Linked DNA regions of Caenorhabditis elegans. The protein of the gene in region 2 interacts with the protein of the main gene of each other region in a pairwise test. Each region holds a gene or a part of one and is shown on either strand. Other genes may lie near its edges.

Evidence for each region. Proteins that work in one complex are often made in the same cells at the same time.
Region 1: the proteins of cysl-1 (region 2) and Y57A10A.24 interact in a two-hybrid assay, tested with the Caenorhabditis elegans proteins (one large-scale study listed by BioGRID).

What each region holds. Positions count from the first base shown.
Region 1 is NC_003280.10:12,241,261-12,248,139, reverse strand, and holds Y57A10A.24 (EB domain-containing protein), read right to left. Parts: upstream 5,195-6,879; 5' UTR 5,146-5,194; coding exon 4,883-5,145; intron 4,175-4,882; coding exon 4,055-4,174; intron 3,951-4,054; coding exon 3,765-3,950; intron 3,200-3,764; coding exon 3,065-3,199; intron 2,865-3,064; coding exon 2,658-2,864; intron 1,999-2,657; coding exon 1,889-1,998; intron 1,829-1,888; coding exon 1,714-1,828; intron 1,225-1,713; coding exon 880-1,224; intron 687-879; coding exon 605-686; 3' UTR 511-604; downstream 1-510. Other genes in the region: txdc-12.1 (Thioredoxin domain-containing protein), read right to left, coding at 6,168-6,520.
Region 2 is NC_003284.9:9,952,039-9,956,045, forward strand, and holds cysl-1 (Cysteine synthase 1), read right to left. Parts: upstream 2,496-4,007; coding exon 2,393-2,495; intron 2,112-2,392; coding exon 2,023-2,111; intron 1,971-2,022; coding exon 1,842-1,970; intron 1,688-1,841; coding exon 1,204-1,687; intron 1,136-1,203; coding exon 1,027-1,135; intron 863-1,026; coding exon 751-862; 3' UTR 541-750; downstream 1-540.

The DNA.
Region 1 (6,879 bases), on a different chromosome or scaffold from region 2:
GTTTGCAAAAATATTCAGGCTTTAGGTTTTTAAGCTTTCAGGCTTGGACCGTTGAGCCCAGACTTGGATGCTAACATTTGAATTTAGATTTTCAGAATTATGGCTTTTGCTTAGGCGTAGGCTTGGGCTTAGGCATAAGCTTGGCGTCAGCTCTGAAAAAACATAGTCTGAAAATGCTCTCATTATCTACACACTCCAATTTTTCAGTGTTAAATAAATAAAAATTTGACTCCTAACTTTTTACATTTTTATAGTTTTATTAAAGAACTTGTTATTGTGAATCGAATGCGTTATGAATTATTGCAAAATCTTTGTTTGGCTTTATAGAGCAGTCTGAAAATGCTCTCATTATCCTAGGCCTAGGCTTAGGCTTAGGCTTAGTCTTAGACTTGGGCATAGGCTTAGGCTTAGGCTTAGGTGTAGTCTTAGGTGTAGGCTTAGGCTTAGGGTTAGGCTTAGGCTTAGGCTTAGTTTTCCAAGTTTTTGTATTAGGCTGTTTTTAAATTAAACTGTTTGAAAACATGTTCATTAGCTAAAAAAATATTTAAAAAATATAGAATTGGCACAAATATTCGAAAAAAAAAACAAAAATCAATAATTAAGCCTAATAGACCACAGGCTTCCGAATACAACATAGATAACTGTCGGTAGTGGAAGATGGTAGACACGTGTAGCCGAGTGGGCAGCTGGAATTATTTTAAAATATCGATTTTTGAACGTTAAACGTTTTCAACAATATATGTATGTTAGAATTTTTTTAATTCCGATTTAAAAAAAAATTTTAAAAAATTGGATAAAGATAATAAGATAATACTGATTTTTAGAGTTTCAAAAAACAATCGAAAAAAATTTTTTATTTTTTATTTTTCTGGAACTCACTCCAACGTAAACAGTGATAGACAACGCTGCACATCTTGATTAACATTTTTCGACGGCATATATGAAAATGGGCATGTCGGCTGCGCAATCACTTCTTCCTCTTCAATCGGCTTCTCAGTAGTTGTAGTAGTTGATGACGTCATAAACGTAAATGGCCCAATCATTGGAATCTGTGGTGGAAGGATTCGGTTCATTTGAATAGTACAACACACATAGACATCATCAATATCAGATTCTTGACACGAATATCCTGATCGAAGAATACACGGATCTCCGATATGATCACAAATGTATGGGAAGCCGTTTTCCATGAGTGGACGGGCTTCAGGGTCTTGGCAGTTTGGACTGTAATAAATATTAAGATATGATTAAGATACCTTTGATGGTTTAAAAGTAAAGTAACGCCAGTGGGGATTGTGTCTAAATACACTTAAAATTATTTCAAATGACCAAATATCATTAACAAACAGTCCAAAAATTTTTAGATTTTTCATTATTCCCGGTCAGTTTTGGAAAATTGCAAACATTTTGAAAAATATGAGCCTTTGAGGAAATCCAAAGCAATTTCGCATGTTCCAACCCCTACAATTTTTTAATACAAATAATTAAAAAAAAATTACAGTATAAAAAATGTAGAAAAAAATTTTTTTTTGGTTGACTTCCAAAATTATGAGTGGCAAAAACTGAGTAATTGTCACTTTTTGATAATAAATAAAAAAATTTCAAAAATTTTTTGAAATTTTTTAAAATGATATTCGATCATTTTGACACCAATGGAGTAGTTTTAAACACTTTCCCCTCTGGCGCTACTTTGCCTTTAATTAAGCAACCTACACAGATTCAAAAGGGTATGGTTCTGCAGTAGTTGTGGCTATGGTTATGGGAGCCTTCATAGTAGTTGTAGTGTAGTAGAATGGAGGGGGTAGAAGGGTTTTACGGCTGTTGCCGACTGAAATTTTTTTTTTTCTTGAATTTTAGTTTTTATAGGTTTAAGCAATAAAATACTCACGTCGATTTTTATACCGCTTACAGCAAATATGGGCGGTCTTCTCCTTGTTCAGCTCACAAAATGCTCCTTGTGAGCACGCCGGAAAAGCTGGGTCACATTTTTCACCGGTTCTGGAATAAGAATCAATACTGGGATTTTTTTGTAATTGAGTCATAAGCATTTCTACAGTAATCTAGACAATCAAGTACATTTGAAATTTTAAAAAAACTCGAGGAAATAAAATTTTTGGAAGTTTTTTTTGCTCTAAATGACATAAAATAGTTTCAATATACCGAATGTAACTGTAGAAAAATTCAATAGAAGCACCTAATAAAAAAATTTCGAATTTGTTAAAATGATTTTTCAATTATTCAACAATTTAAAAAACGGCCGAAATATATGGTTTGCGCGGGAATTCAAATTTAATTCGGCCGTTTCTTAGATTTTTTAAAAATTGACGAAAAATCATTTTAAAAAATTAGAAAATTTATTTAAAAATTTTCCAGATATATTTGGTCATTACGGCTCCATTTTCTGGCATTTGAATAGTTTTTAGTGTTATAAATCAAATATTTTTGCAAAATTGAAAAAAAATCGTTAAAAATTTAGAAAAATTTAGAGAAATTCCATAAATTTTTCTACAGTTATACTCGGTATATTAAGGCTATTTTCTGGATGATAAACACTGAATTAAATTTTTTGATAATTTTTGACAAACGGAAACTGAGCTACAGTACCCCAACAGTACACTATACAGTATACAGTACTACAGTACAATGTAGTAACTTACCCATTCTCCCCATTCCTACAAACCATCTCAATTCTTGAACCGAATGATTCCTCGGATGGACAACACCACATCTCATTCTGAATTTCCATGCACTTTTCATTTCTCAAACATCCGGCTGCGCACACACTTCTCGCAAACACTCCTGACGGGCATTGGGCTAACGAACAACATACACGAAGACCCGTCGGGGTTAGCGAACATTCGTAGCTGGAAATTTGAAATTTGCGGTGCAATTTTAGTTTAGAAGTTCTGAAAATGTTTAAAAATTTTTGTGAAATTTCAACTTTAATTTTCAAAAAATCAAAAAATTGATTCCAAGTTTTAGATGTTTTTCGGAAAGTTTCGAGCAAAAAAAATTAGCTCCTGGCTATTTTAAGAGCATGGCTTGAGCTGTAAAATTCACTTACCCCATCCCACATGGCTTCTTGTTACAGTCCCTCGGCACCAATCCATTCATCAAAATTTGACTTCCAACACCACAAATATCGTCAGAACTTTGACAGCATACCTCTACGTTACTGGTGCGGAATTTTGCGCAAACTCTGAAAATATAGAATTTGAAAAAAAAATTTTCGAATTTAATTTTTTTAAATTAGTTGAAATGTTAAATTTAAAGCATCATACATACAATTTTGCCAATTTTTTTCACAAAATTTTCGGCAAAAAAGCTTTTGTGGTGGGACCCAAAAATTCGAAATATTATTTAACGTTTGATTTAAAAATTTTTTTCATATTATGATATTTTGTTTGAATTCGGGGTACCCCGAAATAAATCTGAATTTTTACTTTTTTTCTATAACAGTTTCCAGGAAAATATCGGTTCTGAAACTTATCGTGGTGGGACCCAAAATGTTCAAATGTTAAAAAAATTTAATTTGTGATACAAACAGTTTTATGCTTTTGTTCAAATTTACAAAATCAAAATCTTCAATATTATGTGAACTTTCTGAAAAATCTAAAAAAATTTGAAATGTTCAAAAATAATTTTTTTGGGCACTAAAAATTTTTCTCCAGTTTTTTGGTGCAAAAATTGTAAATTTCGAGTTTAGGTAACATTTTCGTTTAAAAATAAATTTTTTAATTTTTAAAACGCAGTCCAAAACTAACCCCTGAACACAATCCTTGCACAAAACCAGAGATTTCCCATCATGTGCAATAATTGGATGGGATTTCGGACAGATTTGGGAGGAGTCTAGTGACGTCATCAGTGATGACGTGGATTTTTGCATCGGCTTTTCCTTTGGGAACGGTGCAGATTTGGAGAGTTTTAATTGTGATGTTATCGGGAAACTTCTGTAAAAATATGGATTTATTTTATTTGTAGTTATAGTTTTTATTTTAGAATGGTCTTCTTCTCCCAGAAAACCAAGAAGTGGGCGGAGCTTAAAATCACCAACTTTTCAATGCTCCTGTTTGAGCAGCATATCGACATTCCATCCTGACTACTTGATACACAAAATGATCCATCTGGGCAGTTATTCTTACGTTTTGGAAGACATGGAAAGCCGGTAGACATCCTGAAGTTTGAGTTCAAATATTTTTGGCGCGAAATTCAAAATTTCAGATTTTTAGCAACTTTGGCGCGACTTTCAGTTTTTGAATCTTTAAAATAGTTGGGGCAAGCTTCAAGTTTTAATTTTTTTGATATAATTTTTTTTTTTGATAATTTTGACAGAAATTTTAAAATTTCAATTTTCGCCAAATTTAGATATTTCAAAAATATCAACAAAAATAATTGGCGCCCAATTTAAATATTAAAAGAAATTTCAAAAAATGGTGCTAAATTTAATTTTTTAGAAATTGCAAAAAAAATTTAGCGCCAATTTTAAATATTAAAAAAATTTCAGAACAATTTTTGCGCCAATTTTAAATAATTCAAAAATATCAACAAAAAAAGTTGGCGCCAAATTTAAATATTTAAAAACTTGCAAAACAAATTTGGCGCCAATTTTAAATATTTAAAAAAAATTTTAAAAAGTGGCGCCAGATTTAAATATTTTAAAAATTTTAAAACATTGTGACGTCAAATTAAATTATTTAAAAATTGCAAAACAATTTTGGCGCCAAACTTAAATATTCCAAAAACTTCAAAAAAAATTGGCGCCAATTTTAAATATTTGAAAACATTTAAAAACAATTTGGCGGTAAAATAAAATTATTTGTTTTCAAAAAACAATATATAATCTGCGAAGTTTAACACAAAATTCAAAAAAAAATTTCCTCACCTATAAGCCGGATGCCTGCACTGCGGTGGCGGTACACAACATATACCCCTATGACAAAATGCTCCAAGAGGACATAAGCTTGCACACGTCTTCACGTGCTCCGTATCCGTTAGTGGAAGCTGTCCAACAGGGCAAAGATCCTTCAGATACTGATAAGGAGAAGCTAGGGCTTCAGAATTGGCAGAGGTGATAAGATTTATTAGAAAAATCCAAAGAAATTGGGAATTTAGAACTAAATTTCGAAATTCAAACTGCGAATTCATATTGCTGGTAGAGAAATGACCCGACGATGTATAAGAGGAAAATAATTCGGAACATTGGAGAAGAGACGTGACATATTCTGAATATGAGGATGTTTACATAACTACTCAAATATAGGGAAGGAGAGAAAGTTTCTTAATCCCTTAGGAAACTGGTTTTGATTAATCCTTCCATGTAGGCGCCAAAAGGCCTGGTGTGCCTACCTTGCGGCGACCTTCACCTGCCTCGGGCCTTCTGTATAGTGCGGAACCCGAAAAGTGTCGGCCGCGGCGGAAGGCAGGCGGGCAGACAGGCGTCAGGCCCTGAAACCGCGCCTGCCTCCCATGAAAGCCTTGATTTAGATTTGAACCAATATGTGGGCGGTGTATTTTAAATCTCCTATTTTGTGGCAAAATTCAAATTTTTTTTGAATTTTTTTAAATTAAACAATTATCGAGAGCAAAATTCAAAAATTCATGAAATTATAAATTTTTTCAAACAAAAAAAATTTTGTTCAGATTTAAACTTCAAAAAGCTTTTCAGATTTTCTAAAATCACCGAAAAAAGCCTGAGCCTAAACCAAAGCCTAAGCCTACGTCTAAGCGTAGGCCTGAGCCTAAGCCTGAGACTAAGCCTAAGCCTAGACCTAAGCCTATGCCTAAGTCAATTTCAAATGAATGCAAAATTCAAAAATTTCAAAAAATTAGTTTTTTCAAAAAATTAGTTTTCAAAAGTTTTTTGGCTGGAATTTCAAACTTTCCTGAATTTTTCAAAATGTCACAGATTTTCCTAAAACTTTTTTTTTTTCTAAAAAATTGGCTAAAAATTTTCAGGCACAAAATGCAATTTTCATAAGATTTTTAAAATTTTTTCGAGGTTTCGAAAAGGTTTTTGGCGCGAATTTAAATTTTTCGTAAAAACCGACGTATCGAGAACCAGTTTATTCGTGATAATAATTAATAATAGTTAACAAGATTGGCAAAGAAATGATAAGAAATAAATTAGCTGAAAATCAATCAATAAATCAATAAAACAATCTCTATTCTTACAATTCCTTCTTCTTTCCCTCTGGCTTCTTTGGCTTAAGCTTATCACCTCTCTTAGCCTCTGGAATGTCAACTCCAAAATGTTTAAGCACATCCTTCATAGAGTTAAGGATATCAGCTGGTGATGAGTAGTAATACGCGTAATTTTTGTATTCGGCCTTCTTATTTTTGAATTCTTGAAGAAGATCTCCATTTTTGTCGAGGAAAAGCAGACGTGGAATGTACTTTCCGTCTGGACGGTACTCCTCCTCGAATGGCTCGTCGTCGTCTTCGGTGTTAACCATTACAAAGTGCTCTGAGAGCTTTTTGAAGGCTTTCTTGGCGTTGGATTGTTGGAAGGTCTTCTTGAGAGCTGGAAAATTTGAAAATTCGAAATTGAAACATTTAAAAATTAGGCTTAGACGTAAGCTACAGCTTGGGCTTAGGCTTAGTCGTAGCCTTACACTTAGACTTAGGCTCAAACTTAGGCTTAGGACCCCAATAGATTTTATCCTTTTTTCAGATTAGTGGAATTTGTTTGGAATTTTTATTGAATTTTTGAAAGCTTTAAAATAATTTTTTATATAATTTTTGGAATTTTTAAAAAAATTTTGAGGTTTTTTCTCGCATTGGATTTTCTGGACTTGAAATATTTAAACTTCAAATTTTTTAAAACCAATTTTCAATTTTTTCACAAATTTTTAAACGAATACAATTATGTTTAAAGTTTCA
Region 2 (4,007 bases):
CCTTATTAGGATTGTTTTAATTTCGCAAATATGCTACTAGAACTTTTCCATTACTCTTTTCCAAAAAGATGGGTACGTGAACCATTTAAGTTTATGTCAATTCAACTGAACATGTTCAAAGGAGTCAGCTAGAAAACTGTGAACTTTCCGCTCAAATAATTTCATAGTGAAACCATCAAACCAGACCTCCGTGGTATAGTTTTCCGATTTGATAAAGATCGCGTTAAATATCCATACTACTAATTAAATTGAACTTCTCGCTTGAAACCACATGCAGCGTTTGTCTCGTTGGCCACCACTATCGGTGAAAGAATTTTTCTGGCGATTAGCCAAACCAGGTTTCATTCCTCCTTATTAGGGTCAGTGTTTCTATCTGCACTGACCTTTTCATGAGACATCGACAAGCCTATTTCATGCCTCACTGTGCTAATGGTTTAATTGTTTTTAAAAAAGTCGGTTATCCTCCCAGTTTCGTCAGTTCAACACCAATCTTAGTGTCTGCGGGTTCAAAGCATACAAGCTATCTTAGATCACAGTACAAAACACTAATTGCATTTATTGAAAAAATAGACAGCGGAACATTTACATGGAAAAAATACGAAAGAATGCAAATTATTATAATGTGTAGGTTTTTTGATTGAATTACCAGCCGATTTATCATTTTTAGTGAGTAACAACCTTGATAATTTTTGGGTGAAAGAATTTAAATGAAAGAAAAAAGAAAAAAGTGAGATGAATTTTTGATTTAAATCACTCCATAATATCATAGTTGTGAAGACATAACTTCTTCAAGTTTGCCTCCAAGCTTTCGACTGCCAGAGCCATAGCGCTTTCGCGGATGTCGGTGTACAAAGGAGAGGTCCTGGAAAAATGGTTTTTAAGATCAATCACAGTAAATTGTACATGATTACTACGTTAAAGATTCAATAGTTGTTTAACTTTCTATCAGAAATACTCAACATCCGAGGAATCAGATGCAAACTACTAGCTCACATCACAAGTAACATTTTAAGTCAGTCATCTTACATGTATCGTTCTCCACAGCTTGGCAAACAAGTCACAATGAGCTTTCCAGCCATTTCTGGGCGAGCAGCCAACTGAAGTGCAGCTGCAACATTAGCTCCGGAGGAAATTCCTAAAATATAGAATTTTAAAAACATACTTCTTTCAAACTATCAAAGCAAACACAGTCACACAACCTACCGCCAAGAAGACCTTCTTCATAGGAAAGTCTTTGAGCCATGACAATAGCCTCATCGGAATGAATTCGAATTACGTCTTCATAGATCTTTGTGTCCAAAACAGCTGGAGCAAACCCTGCTCCAATGCCTTGAATTTTGTGTGGACCGGCTGGTCTGCCGCTGAGTATAGCGGATTCTTCTGGCTCCACAGCAAACACGCGGACACCTGGATTCTGCTCTTGCAAGTATCTGCCAACTCCGGTAATTGTTCCACCAGTTCCAACCCCAAAAACAACAGCGTCTACTGTCCCTTTGGTTTGTCTCCAAATTTCTGGTCCAGTTGTTTGATAGTGAACAAGTGGATTATTTGGGTTGTCAAATTGAGCAAGAATGATAGACCCTGGAATGTTTTCCTTCAGCTGGTTAGCCATGTCAATCGCTCCTTTCATTCCTTTCGCTGGGTCTGTCAAGACCACCTCGGATCCATATGCTTTGAGAAGAGTTCTCTGTAAGATATATATTTTATATGTTAAAAAATTTTCAACCCGGAGATTTGTTTAAAATCACAGATGACACAACTGTACTCAATAGCTAAAAAAAAAGGTTTCAGTACTGGCAATTCCTGGGGTGAAGATTTGCATCCATAAGATCAATACTCACGCGTTCTCCACTCATAGATGCTGGCATTGTGACAATACATCTATACCCCTTGGCGGCAGCAACAAAAGCCAATGCGATTCCAGTGTTTCCTGATGTTGGCTCAATGAGCGTGGTCACTCCCGGGATCACCTTAAAAAATTTTAATGCAATTTTTTGAACAATGGTATTGTTGATGAAGCACCGTTCCATCTTTTTCGGCCGCTGCAAGCATTGCCGCTCCAATACGATCTTTGACCGATCCCGCTGGATTCATGTATTCGATTTTTACAGCTGTAAACTTGAAAATTATAATAGGATAATTGGACTTTTGTTTCTTCTTGAAAATTCAAAACATTTTTGATTTGTAAAATTCAATTTTATCTACGTTCTGGTTTTACTATTTTTCGTACTTTCTTTTAAGTGAGACTATTTGTCAAAGTTATATTTTGTTGAGAAGTTACAAAACTCGGTTACAGTGGTATTGCATAAAAGAAACAAAAAAATTCAAAGTTTCACCAGTATTGTTCAAAACATTTTTTAAGATTTCGTTTAATTCAAATGAATAAACCAACCAACTGTCCCTGGAAGTCCTTTTGTCAATTTATTGATGTACACCATGGGTGTGTTGCCAATAAGCGCGGCAGCATTTTCGCCAATAGAGTTGCGATCAGCCATCTGAAACATCGACTATGAGTTAAATGAGAGTGTAGACAATAACGAGAGAACGCAGAAAAGGGAAAACTATATCACAGGAAAGAAATATTTTAAACTATCAATGACTATTGGCACGGAAACAAAATATTTTTCTATCATCTGTTTCTGCTGGTTTTGACACCAAACTCCAAATGATAGTTGGACTTTTAAACAGAAGGAGATAAGGAGATAAAGAAAATGTTATAAGATAGGGAGAGATAGACGACACATGTCTAAGTACATGTTGTGTAGCGGAACGAATGCACAATCAGCTGGCATTTCTTAAAGGTTGGCACACATCTAATGAGCCATTGAATGAACATTCTAAGGAAGCAATGAGGAAACAAACAGAACACGCAACACAACGAGCAAGAGATAGAAGAATATCCCGTTGTTGTATCTTATAGAGCAGCTGCAACGAGACAGATTTATAAAAATGAAGTGAGCAAGTAAGGAGAGAATGAATCCACGATAAGATAATAAAACAACAATAACCGCTCAGTATGACATAATTGCATTATGCAAATGTCGGTGAGCTGGAAAATTTACAATGGGAAAAGAAGAGATGATATCCATTTATTAGAAACTGGGACATTTTTGATGATAAAAGGTAAACCACTTCGTATTTTTCCCGAAAGTATAAATTAAACTTTTTAGGAACTCAGACAGAGTTATTTCAAAAAATTGTTATTTTCTAGATCAAGCACGATAAACTCCAAACATGGAAAAGCATTTACATGTACATCTATTATAGGTAATTAGGAATAGTTTATCCTGAATAACCTTTATGAGTCATGAGTTAAACAAAACACGAAAACGCCCCACTCACCGGATTAAACCAATGAAAAGTACTTGCACGTTTCGATATATACTTAGTGTTCTTGTTTTGTAAAAATAGCAAATGCAACAACTAACCGGCTGGTATTATTTTGATCTTTTGAAACTGCACTTATTAATGAAACATTTCATTCTTTGAAGTGGAATCTTGTTGCAAAAATTGAAGGATGTAAAAAATGGATCTCCTGTCATCTAATAGAAACATTCACACGCTTTTTCCATTTTCTTTTTCTTCTAAGAAAACTCCGAGAAGGATGAAATAGGAGGTGATGGGGAGTTTTCTTAATAAAAAATATAATGAACAAACGATCAAATTACACGATATCGCGAGGCGTTTTCAGAATTTACTTCAAAAAGTAAACTTTGATCATTTTAAAACGGCAGTTCTTAAAGAGCATTAGACCTTTTTACAGTTTCTATCTGGATATGTTTCAAAATTCTTTGAAAACACATTTGATGATTGAGAAAACCAATAATAGTAGTGTCGAAATAGTGTGAAGTAAGCAAAAAGTAGTAGTTTGCATGCAATAATGTCCAGAAAGCAAAAGGTCACTCGTGCTATTTCTTCTATGCACTTCAGACTTCATCAGTAGCATGGGAAAATTCCCACGTCGTCCAGAAACGTTGAATATAAGAATTATACTGTCGAGCATGCAT